Linked DNA regions of Macaca fascicularis. The protein of the gene in region 2 interacts with the protein of the main gene of each other region in a pairwise test. Links are inferred from orthologs where the notes say so. Each region holds a gene or a part of one and is shown on either strand. Other genes may lie near its edges.

The links.
Region 1: the proteins of MOAP1 (region 2) and LATS1 interact in a two-hybrid assay, tested with the Homo sapiens proteins (2 studies listed by BioGRID and IntAct). The two-hybrid records come from large-scale screens. The link is inferred for Macaca fascicularis from reciprocal best matches to the Homo sapiens genes MOAP1 and LATS1.
Region 3: the proteins of MOAP1 (region 2) and THOC1 interact in binary tests that used the Homo sapiens proteins (3 or more experiments, as listed by UniProt). The two-hybrid records come from large-scale screens. The link is inferred for Macaca fascicularis from reciprocal best matches to the Homo sapiens genes MOAP1 and THOC1.

Annotation. Positions count from the first base shown.
Region 1 is NC_088378.1:57,649,599-57,655,676, forward strand, and holds part of LATS1 (serine/threonine-protein kinase LATS1), read right to left. Parts: intron 1,951-6,078; coding exon 1,441-1,950; 3' UTR 1-1,440. UniProt on the Homo sapiens protein: Negative regulator of YAP1 in the Hippo signaling pathway that plays a pivotal role in organ size control and tumor suppression by restricting proliferation and promoting apoptosis.
Region 2 is NC_088381.1:161,180,074-161,186,964, forward strand, and holds MOAP1 (modulator of apoptosis 1), read right to left. Parts: upstream 3,856-6,891; intron 3,660-3,855; coding exon of another isoform or gene 3,637-3,659; 5' UTR 3,540-3,636; coding exon 2,484-3,539; 3' UTR 1,508-2,483; downstream 1-1,507. Other genes in the region: LYSET (lysosomal enzyme trafficking factor), read left to right, coding at 4,694-4,791, 5,541-5,952.
Region 3 is NC_088392.1:68,908,047-68,914,194, forward strand, and holds part of THOC1 (THO complex subunit 1), read right to left. Parts: exon of another isoform or gene 4,569-6,148; intron 3,972-4,568; coding exon 3,871-3,971; intron 2,472-3,870; coding exon 2,405-2,471; intron 2,208-2,404; coding exon 2,157-2,207; intron 2,065-2,156; coding exon 1,994-2,064; intron 1,250-1,993; coding exon 1,154-1,249; intron 559-1,153; coding exon 493-558; intron 1-492. UniProt on the Homo sapiens protein: Component of the THO subcomplex of the TREX complex which is thought to couple mRNA transcription, processing and nuclear export, and which specifically associates with spliced mRNA and not with unspliced pre-mRNA.

The DNA.
Region 1 (6,078 bases), on a different chromosome or scaffold from region 2:
AGTTCTGAAAGGACCACCTGTAGAAAGGTAGGAAGTGTGGGCTAGTAAGTGTTCCTTGCCCTGACTCTCCAATTCAACTGCAACAGCTCTGCCTTTAATTTTACTACATATATGGTTTCAATTAGCTTTTATGTGAAGAAAGCTAAAAGTATGAAAATCATTAAAATTATGCCTCCAATCCCCAAATAGTAACTTTTGATAAAAACAATCCCTTATCAATGTAGCTTAAGAAAAGGAAATAAAATACAAATTTTACTATGGTCAAAATAGAGCCTTTTTCCCCTTCCTAAAAGATAAGCTCATGTATTTTGGTATAGAACCTTAATCTTCCTTAGAACCTAAGCATTATACATAATAGTCATGTTGAACACATTATTTAACCTTAAATAAATTAGGAGGACTTGATTTTCTACTAAGACCACTCTGTAAATTTTTCTAATTATTAATGGCCATCTTAAGAGTTAATTTTTTCACCAATTAATCTGCCCTTAGGTAAAATATTGCCAGATAGCCAGATTTTCCTTTGCCAATAACAATCTGTATATGCAGCACTGTTCTGAAAGAGGAAACAGGTAACATTGATAATATAATCAAAATAGTTACTATACAGGAAAAGTATATGAACATGAAAATAATTCTTTGCTTAGGATGGTGAAAAAAATTTTAGCTTTCAGTACTGAAAATTTTTATTTATGGCAGCTTTGTTCCCTTTTAAAATTGGAAGCAGCATCAAAAATAACAATATGGAAAAAAAGCTAGTAGTGCTTTGGCTTCTTTTAAAGCCAGTAATTCTTGAGAAATAAATGCAAGAAGATTAAATATTCCATGGGGCCGGGAAGATAAATGCATTATCTTTCCTTCTGACAAACATATTAATATTTTTTAACCCTGTATTCCTTAGTTTCAGGATGTGAATTATACAGATTAAGATTAGCCTAGGAACACTCACCAACACGATGGCTTAATTTCTCTAGCTTATTTTGTACCAAAAACAAGGTTATGAGGGGAAAAAAGAGCTCTGTAAATACGGGGTATGTTTCATATTTGGTTAAAGCAAGATAAAACTAAAACTGTCTTTCAAAAAAATTTCAAAAACTCTTGTCTTTTAAAATTATTTAGCATATATACAAATAGATACCAGATTTCTCCTTTTAAACAAAGCACTACTTATTTTAAGTACTTTAAGTACCAAGAACTGACTGTAATATTCAGTTCATAATTTACTTTTCTTATAACAATTTTTTTCTAAATACTGATTTAAACGGCTGGAATAAATTAACATTTTAAAAGGATTTCCCATAATTTAGGAAAATACAATATTGTACACAGAGCACACATATATAGCTCTGTCATATTTGCATAATTTTACTCTCAGAACCTCAAAACACCTCGCATTTCAGGCCCTTTTGCAAATTCTCATTACATTTATTTACTAGTGTGTTAAACATATACTAGATCGCGATTTTTAATCTCTGAGCCTGTGTTTTGATCATCTTCATCCGACTGCTGCTCTGAGCCTTGTGAATTAATGTATTCATATTCAATAGGCTTTGGATAATTATATGGGTAGCCATTGTCATCAAAAAACCTTCGGAAGGTAAATTCATAGAATGCATGTTCAGGATGCTTCCCATTTTTATACCATCCATTGAGAGTGTCATTTACATTTTCTTCCTCGTTATCGTCACTCCATAACTTATCAGGATCAACAGGATCAAAATTTGATGTATCTGTTGGGTGTGTGATTTTAGGAATGTATGAAGCAGATTGCTGTCTCAGGTCACTGGAGAAATCAATTGTTTTAAAAAATGGATGAGCTTTTATTTCATCAGCACCATTCTTGCCTAAGCGATCTTCGGGTCCTCGGCAAAGTTTAATAATAAGATCAGAAGCTTCAGGACTTAGTTTAGCTTGTGGTGGAATGTGAAGAGATGTTTGCCAGTTGATAACCTTTAAAGATTTTTTAAAATTAGGGGGAAGAGATAAATTAGAAAAATAAAAATTTCCTTCAAGTTTTATACCAAAAGTCTCACTGGGCTATTTTTGTATTTTAAATAAATTACATGATATTTTGCTGGAAAATAATTTGTTCTCCTATCCCATCCTCTCCAGGCAACTTCTACTCACATTATAAGACTCAGTGTCAGTTTTAATCTCCCCTAGTAAACCTTTTTGCCTATGGTAGAAATGACTACTTCTACTCTGCCTCCCCTCTACCATATATTTATTTCTATCACATTTCTAATACCTTATGGTACCTATTTATGTTTATGTCCTACTGAAATATAAAATTCCATTAAGGCTAGGGATTATGTTTTAGTGGTCTTTGTATCTCCTAGTGCTCAGTAAATGCCTGGCACATACTTAATACATTATGATAAAACTTTTTCTGGTGCCAAGCGTGGTGGCTTGTCTGTAATCCCAGCACCCTGGGAGGCAGAGGTGGGAGGACTGCTTGAAGCTGGGAAGGTTCAAGACAAACCTGGGCAACAAAGCGAGACCCCCTCTTTACCAAAAAAAATTTAAAACTTAGCCAGGTATGGTGGCATGCATCTGTAGTCCTAGCTACTCAGGAGGTTGAAGCAGAAGGATTCCTGGAGCCCAGGAGTTTGAGGCTGCAATGAGCCATGACTGCACCACTGCACTCCAGCCTGTGTGACACAGTGAGACACTGTCTCCAAAAAAAAAAAAAAAAAAAGCTCTGGTTATGAATAAAATAAAATGAGGAAGAAAGGAATGCCAAGTGAAGTCAGACTACCTAGTCTCTCCCGCTGAACTCTTGGAGGCAGGGGAATTGGTATACAACTCCAAGTACGATATTAAATGGATTTGGGGCAAACTCTATTAAGTGGTAGAATTGTCATTTAACCAAGTTAAGATACCTTCAACTTGGGCAGGCACTGTGGCTCACACCTGTAATCCCAGCACTTTGGGAGGCCAAGGTGGGTGAATTGCTTGAGCCCAGAAGTTCAAGACCAGCCTGGGCAACACGGCGAAAGCCTATCTCTACAAAAAATACAAAAGTTAGCCAGGTTGGTGGTGTACATCTGTGGTCCCAGCTACTTGAGAGGCTGAGGTGGGAGGATCAGCTGAGCCCAGGGAGGCTGAGGCCGCAGTGAGCCGTGATTGTGCCACTGCACTCCAGCCTGGGTGACAGAGCAAGACCCTGTCTCAAAAGAGGAAAAAAAAAATCTTCAACTTGTTCCATGGTAGGTAGTCAATAAATATTTGTTAAAAAGTTTTAATAATAATGAATAAATGAACACTATAATCTTACTTATTCATAGAGGAGCTAGTCAGCTACTACAGAGGGAAGAAAATATACTCCCTCTTCTATTATTTGTTCCTTTTAAAGTCTTACCCCAGATTAGAAAATTGAGATACTTCAACTAATAATATAATATTTTTAAAACCTTTTTGGAAAAAAAAAAGATACAGTTAATAATAGTTATTTATGCTTCCAGTTCCATCACTTATTTCAAACAGGATAAATAAAAAAAAAAATACAATGAGATGAACAATTCCTTTTTTTTTTAAACAGAGGCTCGCTCTGTTGCCCAGGATGGAGTACAGTGGCGTGATCTCGGCTCACTGCAACCTCTGCCTCCTGGGTTCAAGTGGTTCTCCTGCCTCAGTCTCCTGAGTAGCTGGGATTACAGGTGCCTGCCACCTCACACGGCTAATTTTTTTTTTTTTTTTTTGAGACGGAGTCTCGCTCTGTTGCCCAGGCTAGAGTGCAGTGGTGCGATCTCAGCTCACTGCAAGCTCTGCCTCCCGGGTTCACGCCATTCTCCTGCCTCAGCCTCCTGAGTAGCTGGGACTACAGGCGCCCGCCACCACGCCCGGCTAATTTTTTGTATTTTTTTTAGTAGAGACGGGTCTCACCGTGTTAGCCAGGATGGTCTCGATCTCCCGACCTCGTGATCCGCCCGCCTCGGCCTCCCAAAGTGCTGGGATTACAGGCATGAGCCACCGCGCCCGGCATTTTTTTGTATTTTTAGTAGAGACAGGGTTTCACCATGCTGGCCAGGCTGGTTTCGAACTCCTGACCGCAAGTGATCCATCCACCTTGGCCTCCCAAAGTGCTAGAATTACAGGCGTGAGCCACTGTGCCTGGCCAAGTTTAACATTTTTTATTTTAATGTGTATTTAGGATTTTTTAGTTTAAGGCAAAAAAAAAAAAAAAAAGACTAAGCACAGCAAAAGATTCAGATAATTCAAAGATGGATGAATAAAATTATATAAACTGAAGCACAGAGAGAAAACATGTAGAATAAAAGAAAGAATAAAGCGTAAGAGAAATGGAGGACAATATCAAAGGAATAGCATATGTATAATCATTAGAGTCTCAAAAGGTGAGAAGGAAGCAAAATAAATCTTTGAAGAGATGACAGAGAATTTCCCCAAATCGATGAAAGTCATTAATGTACATTTCAAGAAACTGAGTGAATCTCAACCAAGGAAAATACAAAGAAAACTACACATAGGCACACCATGGTCAAATTGAAGAAAACTAAAGTTAAAGAGAAAAAAATCCTAAAAGCAACCAGAGAGGTCCCAGTTTTGAGGAGGTACTACGTATACTCTCCCGTCTCTCTCCCACAGAAGGCAGCTACAAAACCTGATCAGGATACATGCAGCAGCTACTTCAAGACCCTGAAAAGTAAATAATAACAGGTAGATTTGGGGAGAAGATGTAAATTTGAAGTACCATTAAACCTGGTGACCATTTAAAAAAAATAAGAGACAGGATTCTCACTATGTTGTCCACGCTGGTCTTGAACTCCTAGCCTCAAGCAATCCTCCCACCTCAGCCTCCCGAGTAACTGGGACTACAGGCCTGTGCCAGCACACCCAGCTCCATTTTTTTCACTCTAGTAGTCTGCAGGCTGGACTCAAGGTAGCCCCAAACTTGGAAGGAGCTGAGCACAGACAGAGAGCTAGAGCAGAAGTCCCTCTAGTTCAGGCTCAGGGAGTAGAAAAGGAGTTTCCTGGTAGCAATGGAGGTGACAATAAGAGCCAATATGCCCCTAAAACTGACAGATGAACCCTCCTCTCCAATTGGAAATAAAATAACAAAGCATGGGCTGGGCTCGGTGGTTCACGCCTGTAATCCCAACATTTTGGGAGGCCGAGGTGGGTAGATCACTTGAGATCAGGAGTGCAAGATCAGCTTGGCCAAAACGGTGAAGCCCTGTCTCTACTAAAATACAAAAATTAGTGGGCCGGGCGTGGTGGCTCAAGCCTGCAATCCCAGCACTTTGGGAGGCCGAGACAGGCGGATCACGAGGTCAGGAGATTGAAATCATCCTGGCTAACATGGTGAAATCCCGTCTCTATTAAAAATACAAAAAACTGGCCGGGCGCGGTGGCTCAAGCCTGTAATCCCAGCACTTTGGGAGGCCGAGACGGGCGGATCACGAGGTCAGGAGATCGAGACCATCCTGGCTGACACTGTGAAACCCCGTCTCTACTAAAAACTACAAAAAACTAGCCGGGCGAGGTGGCAGGCGCCTGTAGTCCCAGCTACTCGGGAGGCTGAGGCAGGAGAATGGCGTGAACCTGGGAGGCGGAGCTTGCAGTGAGCTGAGATCCGGCCACTGCACTCCAGCCTGGGTGGCAGAGCGAGACTCCGTCTCAAAAAAAAAAAAAAAAAAAAAAAAAAAAACTAGCCGGGGGAGGTGGTGGGTGCCTGTAGTCCCAGCTACTCAGGAGGCTGCGGCAGGAGAATGGCGTAAACCCAGGAGGCGGAGCTTGCAGTGAGCTGAGATCGCGCCACTGCACTCCAGGCTGGGTGACAGAGCGAGACTCTGTCTCAAAAAAAAAAAAACATTAGTGGGGTGTGGTGGTGCATACCTGTAATCCCAGCTACTCAGGAGGCTGAGTTAGGAGAATCACTTGAACCCAGGAAGCAGAGGTTGCAGTGAGCCAAGATTGTGCCACTGCACTCCAGCCTGGGCGACAGAGTGAGACTCCATCTCATAAATATATAAATAAATAAAATGATAATAAAGCATAGGGTCCCAATAAGATGGGTTGAATCTCTGTTGCTTGTTTTCTCTCTGTGTCCTTTTGCCA
Region 2 (6,891 bases):
TTAAGTGATCCACCTGCCTTGACCTCCCAAAGTGCTGGGATTGCAGGTGTGAACCACTGCACCCAGTCATATAATTTTAAGAACATTTTTTCTTTAGCTTACTTTAATATAGTATATAATACAAATAACATACAAAATATGTTAATCAACTTTCTGTTATTGGTAAGGCTTCCAGTCAGTAATAATAGTTACGTTTTTGAGGAATCAAAACTTATGTACAGATTGTGCAGTGGGCTGGCTCCCTGAAGCCCCAAGTTATTCAAGGGTCAACTGTACTCCCCTGCAATGCACATAAGATGGACATTTATGAAATGGAGCCAATGCCTGCCCTGCTTCCCTTGTGAGGCTAATGGGTATAGATACCCTGATGATTGCTTCTCTTTCTTGGCAGTAGAAAGAATATGGGCCTTGCAGAAAGAAAGAGGAGAGAATTCTGACCTAATCACTCACTACACTTACTACAGAGGATCAGAGGATAGAATTCTGGCCCAAGGATGTTTCACCTTGACTGAATTTCTTTTTTTTTTTCTTTTTTTTTGAGACGGAGTCTCGCTTTGCCCAGGCTGGAGTGCAGTGGCATGATCTTGGCTCACTGCAACTTCCGCCTCCCAGGTCCAAGAGATTCTCCTGCCTCAGCCTCCCGAGTAGCTGGGACTACAGGCGCCCACCACCACGCCTGGCTAATTTTTTTGTATTTTTAGTAGAGACGGGGTTTCACCGTGTTAGCCAGGATGGTCTCGATCTCCTGACCTCGTGATCTGCCCGCCTCAGCCTCCCAAAGTGCTGGGATTACAGGTGTGAGCCACCACACCAAATTTCTAAACTTTTGTGCCCATTTCCACAAGTGTGAAACTGAGTTTTCCTATATTGCAGGATTTTTTTTTTTTTTTTTTTTTTTTTTAAGACAGGGTCTTGCTCTGTCACCCGGGTTGGAGTGCAGTGGTATGATCATGGCATGCTGCAGCCTTGACCTCCTGGCCTCAAGCAGTCCTCCAGCTTCAGCCTCCTGAGTAGCAGGGACTGCAGGTGCACACCACCATGCCCGGCTAGTTTAAAAAATTTTTTTTTACATTACCCAGGCTGGTCTCCAACTCCTGGGTTCAAGCAATCTTCCTGCCTCAGCCTCTCAAAGTGCTAAGATTATACTGCTCAACCTTTTTCCAAGAGGACTAAATAAGAGAGTAAACGGAGAAACTTTTAGTCCAATCTTCCAAGCAGCAGCATGCAATGTTCATTTCTTTCCTTCTCCCTCCAAATTTGACACACTGATACATCTGCACTACTTGCACTAATTTGTGCACTGTCTTGTTTCACCCCATTGTTTTACTGCTTCAGTGGAAGCTCTCTTCACTTAGAAAACAGTTTCCTACCCCTGAGCACCAAGAAGAAAGAGTCCAAGGAACTAAGTCTGTGTAGGTCCAGTGGTTTGCAGATTCATGCTTTGGGAACTCTTTATTCAAATGAAATCTCTCCTGGAACCTTGATATAAACAAAACAGACAACGTCATTTTATTACCATTCCTTTATTTTAGAAGCTCACATCTATAATTTTATAACAATCGTGAAAATGTTACTCAGAACTAGATGTTTTGATGACACATAGCAGAAATCTGTAAAGATGGTCATTGAAACTTAACCAATCTCAGCATTCTATTCTGCCTTTTGTTTTGATTGCACAGAATCAATATAATTTTGATTCATACAGAAAATAACTTAGTATCTTAACCTCCACTCAGGATCTTCATCATAAATGTAGGTCAATACATACCTAAAAACTGTCAATGATCCAACATGATCACATGTGACATGCTACACTTGTGCCTCGTACCAAACAAGCTGATATTTCAATGAGATCTGGTCAGCATATACACCCGAGCCTTGTCTGTCCTCTCAGAGCACTGCACACAGGTAGTGAAAGAACTTTTGTACAATAAGAAATTCACAGGGATGAGGCCGGGCGCAGTGGCTCACACCTGTAATCCCAGCACTTTCAGAGGCTGACGCAGGTGGATCACTTGAGGTCAGGAGTTCGAAATTAGCCTGGCCAACATGGTGAAACCCTGTCTCTACTGAAAATGCAAAACTTAGCTGGGCGTGGTGGCACGAGTAGTCCCAGCTACTCGGGAGACTGAGGCAGGAGAATAGCTTAAACCCGGGAGGTGGAGGGTGCAGTGAGCCAAGATCGCGCCACTGCACTCCAGCCTGGGTGAGCACGAGACTCTGTCCCTACAACAACAACAAAGATATTCACAAGGATGAATTTAAATAGGTAAACAGCAGTGTAGAACTACATCCTTCCTAGTCAATTACACCTTTAGGAGACTTTAAATAGGCATAGAAACGACAAAGGGCTTATACTGAGAATTGCACAAAAATGAGTTACTTGGCAGCACAAGGTAGGGATTGTATGTGTCAAAGAGTATATAGACTGTTCTACCTTCATGCTCTACTCATTGCCATATCCCTTCGTGATTCCCTGAGACTCAGGTGAAATGCCCTTCTAATACTTCCTGGAGAAGGGCCTCCTCCTCCTCAGCTGCCTCGTAATCCTTTATTAGTACCAGTAACTGCAAGAAACCAGGGGCTGGGCCATCCTCTGGCAGATTAAGCTCTCTGCGAATTGTTTTGTGGACTGCGCCAGCAATGACTTGGTCTAGGCGGGCCTGATTCACAGCATCTCTCTCAATTGCTCCTCTCTGTACCAGCTTCTGTAACAAAGGCTCCAGCCTAAGTACATAAGCCGACAACTTTTCCTCATCCTTCTGATAAGTGGTTAGATATTTGACCTGCAACTCTCTAGGATTATCTGTAACCCCAAATACCTCCTCAAGAGCCTGCAGGCATTCATCGACAGTAATTAAAGGATTGTTTATCTTGAGGACACGAATAACATCAAGTGCTGGGCCTCGAAGGCTCTCTAGCAATCGCCTTCTCTTCTCTACATCTGGCACCTGCCACGCCTTTATCATCTGAGTAGTATGAAACATCCAGCGTCCAAATTCTTCTTCTCCTGGTTCTGGAGGCTCCCTGCCGGAGAACACTCTCAGCTTTTTATACTTCAAGCATTGCAGGGCAGGCTGAAGAGCCTCTAATGCCTGTGCCAACATAGGGGCCCACATTTCTGGGATCATGCCCTGCTCTAGGTCTAAGGAGCCATTTTCATGTGCAAGAGCTCTGGTCAACTCACCCACTGTCATGCCCTCTCCCGCTAAAAATTCATTTAATCTGCTTAAAAATGTATTATCAGAGTCAGGGGGCTTAAAGATCACTCTCCAGATACCCCCTTTTCCCGGTATCTCCTTAGGGACCAGTGCGTGACTAGTCTCCGCAGTAAGCCCTACTAAGGCTACTTTCCTGTTCTCATCCCTCCTGAACATCCTTCCAAGCAGTCTGTACTCCCCCAAGGGAGCTAAACCAGCCTGCAGAGCCTCCTCGATTTCTGCCACACTGCAGCTCTGGGAGATGCCGGCAATCAACAGCGCTTTCCGAGGGTTCATGTCCATCCCCCTGCACCAGTCTTCCAAAAGCCTCAAAGTCATGGTGCCCGAAATAATACACTTAAGTTCTAAATATTCCAGACCACAGGCGGCCACTGCAATTCAAAGTAATCCTCCGCGGTACCTCAGGGAAATCTCGTCAACGTGCCGAGGTCCAGCAGCCTGCAAAACACAGCAGACAGGTTAGCTAAGGGTGCCAACGTCCAAGGCACGCGTGCAGGCCCCAAGCCCCGCGCGCCCTGCCCCCCGCGGCGACTCCAGGGCCGCCGCACTGCGGCGCGCGCCCCTCACCCCTCCCAGCCCTGGTGCCTGGCGGATGTCGGGCCTGCAGGGCCTCTCCGGGCCAGCTTCCACTCACCGTAATCTAGTGCTCGGTGCCTGCGTCCGTGCGCCGGCGGCGGAGGTGCCTGGCCGGGCCCCGACGAGGTGCGGGAGGGCGGGCGGGCTCCCCTAGGCTCGGACGGACACTCAGGGGCCAAAGCGACTGATGCCGGTCCTCCAGGTGCTTGTGATGCTCTCCGCAGCAAGAAGTGATCGGGCGATGACAGTCGCGATCGGGCACCGGGAGGAAAGGCTGAGGAGCGCTGAGTCGCCAGACCCAGACAGCCGCCCACCTGAAGGGACGTGCCGCCACCCGCGCAGCTAGATACCCAGCTCCAGCGCGGATTCCAGCTGTTTGGGTCTAGCTGGGGGAAGCTGCGCGGCGGGCGGGGGCGATCTGACGTCATGAGGGGGGGCGGGCCTCTGGGGGGCGGGGCGCGCGCGCTTCCGGCCCGAGCCGGAAGCCCCGACTGCGGCGGCATCCGGGACGGCGGGCGGGCTGGCCACCCGGGACAGGAAGGTGAGATCCGGGACCTTAGCTTTGCAGGCAGGCTCTGCCGGCGGCCGCTGACTGGCGCTGGGCTCGCGACGCTGCAGGGCTGCGAGGCCCGGGCCTGGCGCAGTCAGCACAACCCTGGTCGCGGCGTGCCGGCGCTGCAGCGCGGCAGGGGGCGGGGCCGGCCGCCTGGAGGCCCTTGTGGCGGGGACGCCTCCCGGCCGGGTCAGGTCCCCATAGCGGGTCTCCGGCGGCGGCGACGGGGGCCGGGCCGCGCGTGACCCGCCGCAGTCACGCCGTTCTTAATCACTAGTAGCTGGTGCCCCAGGCTGGCGGCGCTCACCTTTCTCCTAGCCGGGTGACCCAGGGGATTTATTTTATGGTGGCTTTCTCTGAAATGCCAAAGCCACCCGATTATTCAGAGCTGAATGACTCTTTAACGCTTGCCGTGGGAACAGGAAGATTTTCGGGACCATTGTAAGTGCTTAGGAGTTACTGTCTTAACTTGGGGGCTTGACTTGTAGCACCCCGCGTTCACATCTGAAGCAGTACTGTAAAGCCGAAAGTGTTTCACCTATCAAAGTGAAAAGTGCTGTGGGAAACTAGTTTAATTCCAGTTTCTGGAGGGCGGGTATTATGGACTTGTTTAAGTAGGATGCAGTGATTTATTCTGAGATTCCCGTTAAAAAGCAGAACTCAGTATATACTGAAATCAATGGTTATTTTGTTTTTGTTTGTTTTTTTATTGTAACTATTACACAAAACCTGTAAGTTTTACATTTCTTAACAGGCGTTTAATTATTTTAAATCTTAAGTGTGTTAGTGGGATGCTTTCGAATTTAATTTTATTTTTTTGAGACGGAGTCTCGCTCTGTCGTCCAGGCTGGAGTGCAGTGGCGCGATCTCGGCTCACTGCAAGCTCTGCCTCCCGGGTTCACGCCATTCTCCTGCCTCAGCCTCCCGAGTAGCTGGGACTACAGGCGCCCGCCACCACGCCCAGCTAATTTTTTGTATTTTTAGTAGAGACGGGTTTCACCATGTTAGCCAGGATGGTCTCAATCTCCTGACCTCGTGATTCGCCCGCCTCGGCCTCCCAAAGTGCTGGGATTACAGGCGTGAGCCACCGCGCCCGACCTAGAATTCTTGGAGATAAAGCAAGTACATTTGGAGTAGTTGCGGTGACAGTACTACAAGACCCTAATTGTATTTTCTTTTTTAATTTGAAGGCACAGAGCATGGAGAATGATGAATTTCCGTCAGCGGATGGGATGGATTGGAGTGGGATTGTATCTGTTAGCAAGTGCAGCAGCATTTTACTATGTTTTTGAAATCAATGAGACTTACAATAGGCTGGCCTTGGAACACATTCAACAGCACCCTGAGGAGCCCCTTGAAGGAACCACATGGACACACTCCTTGAAAGCTCGATTACTCTCCTTGCCTTTTTGGTTGTGGACAATTATTTTTCTGGTACCTTACTTACAGATGTTTTTGTTCCTATACTCTTGTACAAGAGCTGATCCCAAAACAGTGGGCTACTGTATCATCCCTATATGCTTGGCAGTTATTTGCAATCGCCACCAGGCATTTGTCAAGGCTTCTAATCAGATCAGCAGACTACAACTGATTGACACATAAAATCAGTCACCGTTTTTTCCCTACGATTACAAAACTGCCAGTCCTATATGGAGTCTGATCACAAGACTGCAGTTTCTTCACAGATCTCAGGAAGTTGTGGTGGGGCAGAGGCTTTTTAAAAACATGTGATCAGGGGGCTATCTTTATCTGAATAATAATGAATTTTTAGGTAAAACCTGAGATAGAGTACTACAAAATCATGTTGATGACTTCAGATTTTGGAAGTTAAATCGTGTCTGTTATTTGCATTCTTTAGAAACTTGACTGAGTACCTGAATTCATATTTCTATTCTACTGTGCAACATAGTGATGATTCAGAAATTTTTCCTTTGGGGAAAAAAAATGAATATGAACATTTCCATTGTGTTAAGTGTAAAAAGGTCCAGACATGATCATAAAATTTAAATTTTATACAATTACTTGGCTTGCTTTAAATTCTTCACACTTAAAACACCGATTCATTCTATTGCAGCTAAGCCAGCTGTTTATACTTGCTGTCAGCTTATGAGGCATTGCTAAAAAAAGTATTAAGGTAATGGCTGTCTTGATAAGCAGAATTTGTTCTTCCTCTTGGTAATGGCTAGCTAAATTATTATTAGTGCTTTTAATGGTTTTATTTTTTATATTTTTCTTTTTTGTGGAGAATGAGGTCTCGCCACGTTGCCCAGGCAGGTCTCGAACTCCTGGGCTCAAGCTTTCCTCCCCTCTAGCACTCCCTAAGTGCTAGGATTACTGGCGTGGCTCCCATGCCCAGCTATTTTTAATTAAAAAAAATTTTTTTTCCATGGCTTGTGACACAGTCTCAGGAGGCCCTGAGAACATGTGCCCCATTGCTACTAGTTTAGAAAACTATTTGGGAAGAGACTAAATGGTAAATGTTGAAAGGCTAGAAATAACTTACAAATAGAAGATGGAAACAATGTGTTCAATGAAAATAAG
Region 3 (6,148 bases), on a different chromosome or scaffold from region 2:
AAAATACAAAAAATTAGCCGGGCGTGGTGGCAGGAGCCTGTAGTCCCAGCTACTCGGGAGGCTGAGGCAGGAGAATGGCGTGAACCCAGGAGGAGGAGCTTGAAGTGAGCCGAGATCACGCCACTGCACTCGAGCCTGGGTGACAGAGTGAGACTCCGTCTCAAAAAAAAACAAAACACAAAACCCAAGTTCCCTGGTTCCCAAAGCTGGGAATCATTAGTACTGCTGCCCTGGAACCATATTCTGTTCATAGGCTTACTCTTCTGTTGGTAGTTTTGATTCCTTTTGTGAATCTTTATTTTTTTGTGATTTCTAAAATTATTTTATCAGCACTTCGAGGAGTTTTATGGTGGGAAGTTACACTCTGCTGTGCCAAGAGTCAACCACAATAAACTTTTAAATTTCGTTTGAGCTCTGATCATAGCTGAGAAAAGGCTCCATTCTACTCAACTTGGTAAAAGCAACACTTCATTTGAAAAATGTTCAACTTGCCTTGTCTCTGATTTACAGGCTTCCATATTATCAGGACAAAGATTCCAAAGCCTTGTTAACTCCTCACTACAAAACAGACACAGAAATAAATACGTTTTTTATGGACACCATCCTTATGTGCTTTGAAACTGAACAGAAAAACAATACAATGTACATAGTGGATTTGGGGATGTTGATAGCATGAGTTTTACTTTTCTCAATAATTTTTGGTATTTAAAATACCTAAAATTATTCTCTATATGAACATATAATCATTAATTATAATTATGACTAATGATAATTGAATAATCTTTAGTTTTTTCTAAAAATATTCAAGCACAATCTAAAGCAATGATTAGTTAAGTAGAAGGTAAGAGAACTCAAGGATTATGGTACCTTGCAACAACTAGAAGTGAGCTTCATCAATCTAAACAATCCTACTGTCTGAAACGGAAAAAACGGCACAGCCAAGAGACACAGATTTTGGAAGCTGGAGACAAAATGAAGGTTTTATCTGCTGCATGAACCTACATAATGGGCAGTATAGAGAGTGCGGTTTGCTCTGGCTATCTATGTGTGTACCAAACACAAATTCATATTATATTTTGGATGGAGAGTTCTTATAGTAACATCTTCAAAATATAAAAATAAGAACATTCCACATGAAGACAAGTTCACCTACTTTCCCATCAGAATTTTTTTGCTGGGTCCTTTCCCTAGGAAGTCCTCGGGTGCTGTTCTCTTCCGAATTATTCTCGTAGGTTTGGTATCTGATGTTCTGTGGTGAAAAAAAACATACACTATTTTTTGAATTACACATAGATAGCAGAAATAGAAGAATGTTTAATGTAAAATAAAATTTAGTTATTGTTTTCCTCTTAAGAAAGATGAAAACTGGCTGGGCATGGTGGTTCATGCCTGTAATCCCAGCACTTTGATGGGCTGAGGTAGGTGGATCACCTGACATCAGAAGTTCGAGACCAGCCTGGCCAACATGGTGAAACCCTGTCTCTACAAAAATACAAAAATTAGCCAGACATGGTGGTAGGTGCCTGCAATCCCAGCAACTCGGGAGGCTGACACATGAGAATCGCTTGAACCCAAGAGGCGGAGGCTACAGTGAGCTGAGATCGCGCCACTGGAGCTGAGATCGCGCCACTGCATTCCAGCCTGAGTGATAGAGACTTCATCTCAAAAAAAAAAAAAAAAAAAGATGAAAACTTCATATTATGATAGAACAATTATCAAATATAAGACAAAAATGCCACATTGCAGGGCAAATCACATGGAGTAGATATACAGTATTCTTCTCAATAATATAGATGTTTGTTCCAGGAATTTAATGACAAGAAATTTATGAGGTAAAAAAAATACAGAGGTAAATCAAAGTGGTTGTACTCTTACAGAGTTCGACTTACATTTTTTATATGAAATATATACATGTATCTTTACATGCTATAGTCGTATCAGAGCATATTTTCAAAAGCTTTTCTCATCGTTCTTGTGATGAGTATGTATTTACCTTTCTTTCACAAAACTTGGGCAACCTTCATTTTTCCATGAGTTCCAGTTTTCTTCAGTGTTTAATATATGCTGGGAAAAACAGAGATTACATTTTGGTTAATGGAATCCTCTGAAATTCTGTTTCGTGCTAAGAAGAGGATGTAAACATAAAAAACACATACCTCTACCATCTTTGAAAATCTTTCTCCATCGGGGGGGTTTTCAGATAGTAGCTGTGATTAGAAAGAATATACTAAGCTTTCAACAACTTTCTGCATCATAGGAGTGGTTTGTAGGCAGAGAACCAAGGAGTGTTTGTGGTCTTGTACCTGAGCTTAACTTTATCCTTATTTTCCTATTTGGGGCTGAAACAAAGAAAATCCTAAATTTCCATTTTTTCAATCATGGGTTTGTTGCGTGTTGAACTTACTTGATAAACTGATTTTGTAGTATCTTCAATCCAAAGTGATTGTTCATCAGTTAAAACATAGTTTGAACTAGGGAACAAAGCAATGAAAGCATGCTTGAGTTACAGCAATGCATATCCAATTTTAAGCTTTAAAAAACACAAGGCATGTAACATGTAACTATACTGTGGATAGTGTCAAAAATTACCAAGATAAGAATAGTCACAAATGAAAGGATTATAAGAGAAAATTCTTGCACTTCTTCCTCAAGAGGGTTGGTACTAAAGACATAAAAACATATGCAGGTAATAAAACATTCAATTAATCAATCGGATTCACTATGAACAGAGCAATAAATGTTTCCTAAAATAAGCTGAGTGTGAAATGAAAACCTCTGATTTGATATTAAGATACTTGTATACATGATGCACATTCAGTATGGCATGCTACATTCCTTTAAGGTTCATTCAAAACACAACGAATAAAAACACCCAAACCCTAGAAAAGGCAACAGGCAAACCCAAATTGTTAATAGCCACCACTAACTGAACTCTCACAATGCACTAGGTGATTTAAAGACATCCAATAAATATTGATGGCTAGGATCTGAACACTTTACATACATTATTTACTGAATTCTTGGAACAAGTACATGTACATATTAAACACAGACTACAGTGGCTCAATGATTTGCCCAAGGCCATAAAGCTTTAATTCAAACCTACGTCTCACTCCAAAGTCCCTGATCTTCCTACAATGCTATACCAAACCTCAAAAATAGATAGAAGGATAAGAAATTACATTTTTTTAGTGTTTACCATGTGCTACTATCTTAAAATGACAAGTCTGAAAGAGCTGCACTGCAGCCAGCAAATGATGAGCCTGGGATTCAAACCCAGCAGGTAGTAAAGTCATTATACAACTAATACTGCATTGCTCAGTGTCCTTAACACAAATATCGTTAAGTAGCAGTGGGCTCCACCTTCAGTTATGGACAGGACAGGAGGAAATGGATGGAGGGATTTAGATAGACAGTAGAGAGCCTAATAAGGTTTTGTGAAACCCCAAAGAAATGAACTCCTTTTTGCTTAAATATTTTATTTGCATCTTTTAGCTTGAATGTCCTACACAGCTCCACACCTTGTGAGAGATGTATTACTGGCTTAGTCTACAAATCCGCTTTGGAGGAGGTCTGAGGGAGGTGAGAAGGGAATGATGGAAGTTTGGAGCAGAGACCTCCACCTGCCAATAAAGACGACAACTCCTGCTAAGCCCTGGAATTGGGGCAGGAAAAACTCACACTGACAGATATATTTAACATCTTTTCCTTAATCCTAATATCTAAAAGCCTTCAATATATCAGCTGCAATACATGTGTTTTAGGGATAGAACCTTAACATGAAATGGACACAATACAAAAGAAAAATCATAAGCAAGTCCTTTTTTTTCTTGGCTGTTTACAAATTATTTACTACCCATATTATCTTACCTTTTGAATTTGACCTGCCCCTTGAGATATTGGAATAAAATGAGATACTGCAACAGGATGTGTCGACGAAAGTTACTGTCACTCAGTTGTAAATCCATCAGCTACTCAAGAAACAAGCAAACACATATGAAAACAACACATTAAAATCAAGTTTTGCCTAAAGGTACAAAATGTGCTACTATAGAAATGGAAGATTCCAATTCAATTTAAAAAACATTTGTTGAGAATTCATTGCACATGAGGCATTACCGCACAAGCCCAAAGACGGTCCAGTCAAGGTTTCACTTAGACTTCTTGACTGTTTTATGCCATGACAGATTCATGTTGGTGGATAACAATGCTCTATCTGTGGTCCTGACATGAGGATAAAATAAGGCAGAAATATAAAAAAGTAAACTGGGCATGGTGGCACAAGCGTATAGTCCCAGCTACTCAGGAAGCTGAGAAGGAGGATCACTTGAACCCAGGAGTTCGAGATCAGCCTGAGCAACATAGCAAGACTCTAAATTTAAAAAAAAAAAAAAAGTAAAAAGTAAAATTGAGGCTACTACTTTCCCACATATGAAGAAATACTGGCTAAAGAAGATATGGATAACAGCACAATATCAACGGGTACCACTCATTTTTGCAGCCCTGTAAGTGCCTGCAACAGAGGTATTAAGAAATTAGAGGTGAAAATCATCTCTGATTAGATGGGCTTTGTTTTTTTTTAGCTTTTAGTGAAAACTGCATCATACTTGTATTATCACAGAATCTAGATTAGAAAGGACTTGAAGGTGATTTATGAGGAAGTTCTTCAACGACCCTGCCATCCAGCTGTAAGAATAACTTGCGGGTGACGAAGGAAAGTCATTCTGATTATGTGCATGGAGCACTGAAGGAAAGGTGAAGTCTGTAACCACAAACTCACGCTAGTACTGCTTTCAAAAACTACAGTAACAAAGGAAAGCCACGTTCTCCTAAATGAATCACCAGTAAGGCAGCTGGAAGCATCAGAAATTGGTTTTGGTTCAATGTCCCAAGTTCTGGTGGCTCTGCTTTACATGGTTTGGTACCATTTACTAAGGCCACCTAACACACACAAGCCTCCTTATTCACTAGCAACCCCTTCCACACCGCGGCTCCAGGTCTTAAAAAAAAAAAAAATTAATGATCAGCCTTCCCGTCAGGTTTCCCACACTTTTAAGGACTGAATATATTTGATTGTTATTTATATTAACTCTCCTATCCCAAACTGGAAATGTGAATGGCTGGCCATCAGCCTTCCCTTCCTCCAGCCCCTGGGCAACTTGACTGTCTCCACTCAGGCTGTTAGTTCCTTGCCATCAACTCCACGGACAGGCCCACCTCTGCTCCAGCTACCCACTACTGTGGCCACAGCTAGACCTGGGGTTACAGCTTCCCCAGATCTGAAGTCTTTAACTCACAATCCTATCTCACCACCTCTATCCTTCCCAGGTCTCTCACTCAGGTGCTTCCAATATACCTAATATTTGGATCTTACTGAGACTTTAAGGCCCTTTCTATTCTCTACCTGTTAGTCCAATCCTATTTTAGTCTAGATAAGGGGTCAGCAAACCTTTTCCTGAAGTGTGAAATAGTAAATATTTTTATTAATAGGTTATGTGGGCTAAGAGGCATAGTATGGATATTATGTAGGTATTTAAACATCTAAAATATAAGAGATAAAAAAAAAACCAAAACCACCAAAAACAACCAACACGGGTGGTGGGCCAGATTTGGCCTGTAGGCTATAATCTGCCAACTCCTGGTCTAGACTTCATGGCTAATCTCTTTGTCTGTTTTCTTGCCAACTTCCTCAACACACTTGTCCCATATTTCTTCTGTCACATCTAGTGAGCACACAGCAACCTTGAATAAACCAACTGTCACCTTCTCTATACCAACTCTCAGGCTTCCAATCTCGGCTGAAAGTGAGGTGCCTGAGTGAATATACCAAATTACACAGCTATGCAGAAGGCACCACTGGTATGTGGTCTCCACCTTAAACATCTGTTTTTAGTCAGCAATCTCTCTTTATTCTTCAAGGTCATTCTCTCTCCTATTCTTCACAGTAATGATTTCAAACCCTTTTCACTTAGCAAAAATACTACTTTACCACTCCTCTTCACTTTCAGTAGATAACTACTTTTGCCTTCAATGAGGAGAAAAATTCATTAAATTGGAAAGCATTTCATTTCTTGGCCCCAAAATGACAAGTCAGCTGCACCCACACCTTTGTTTACCTCATTTCCTTCTGTCACAACTCTCTCATGAC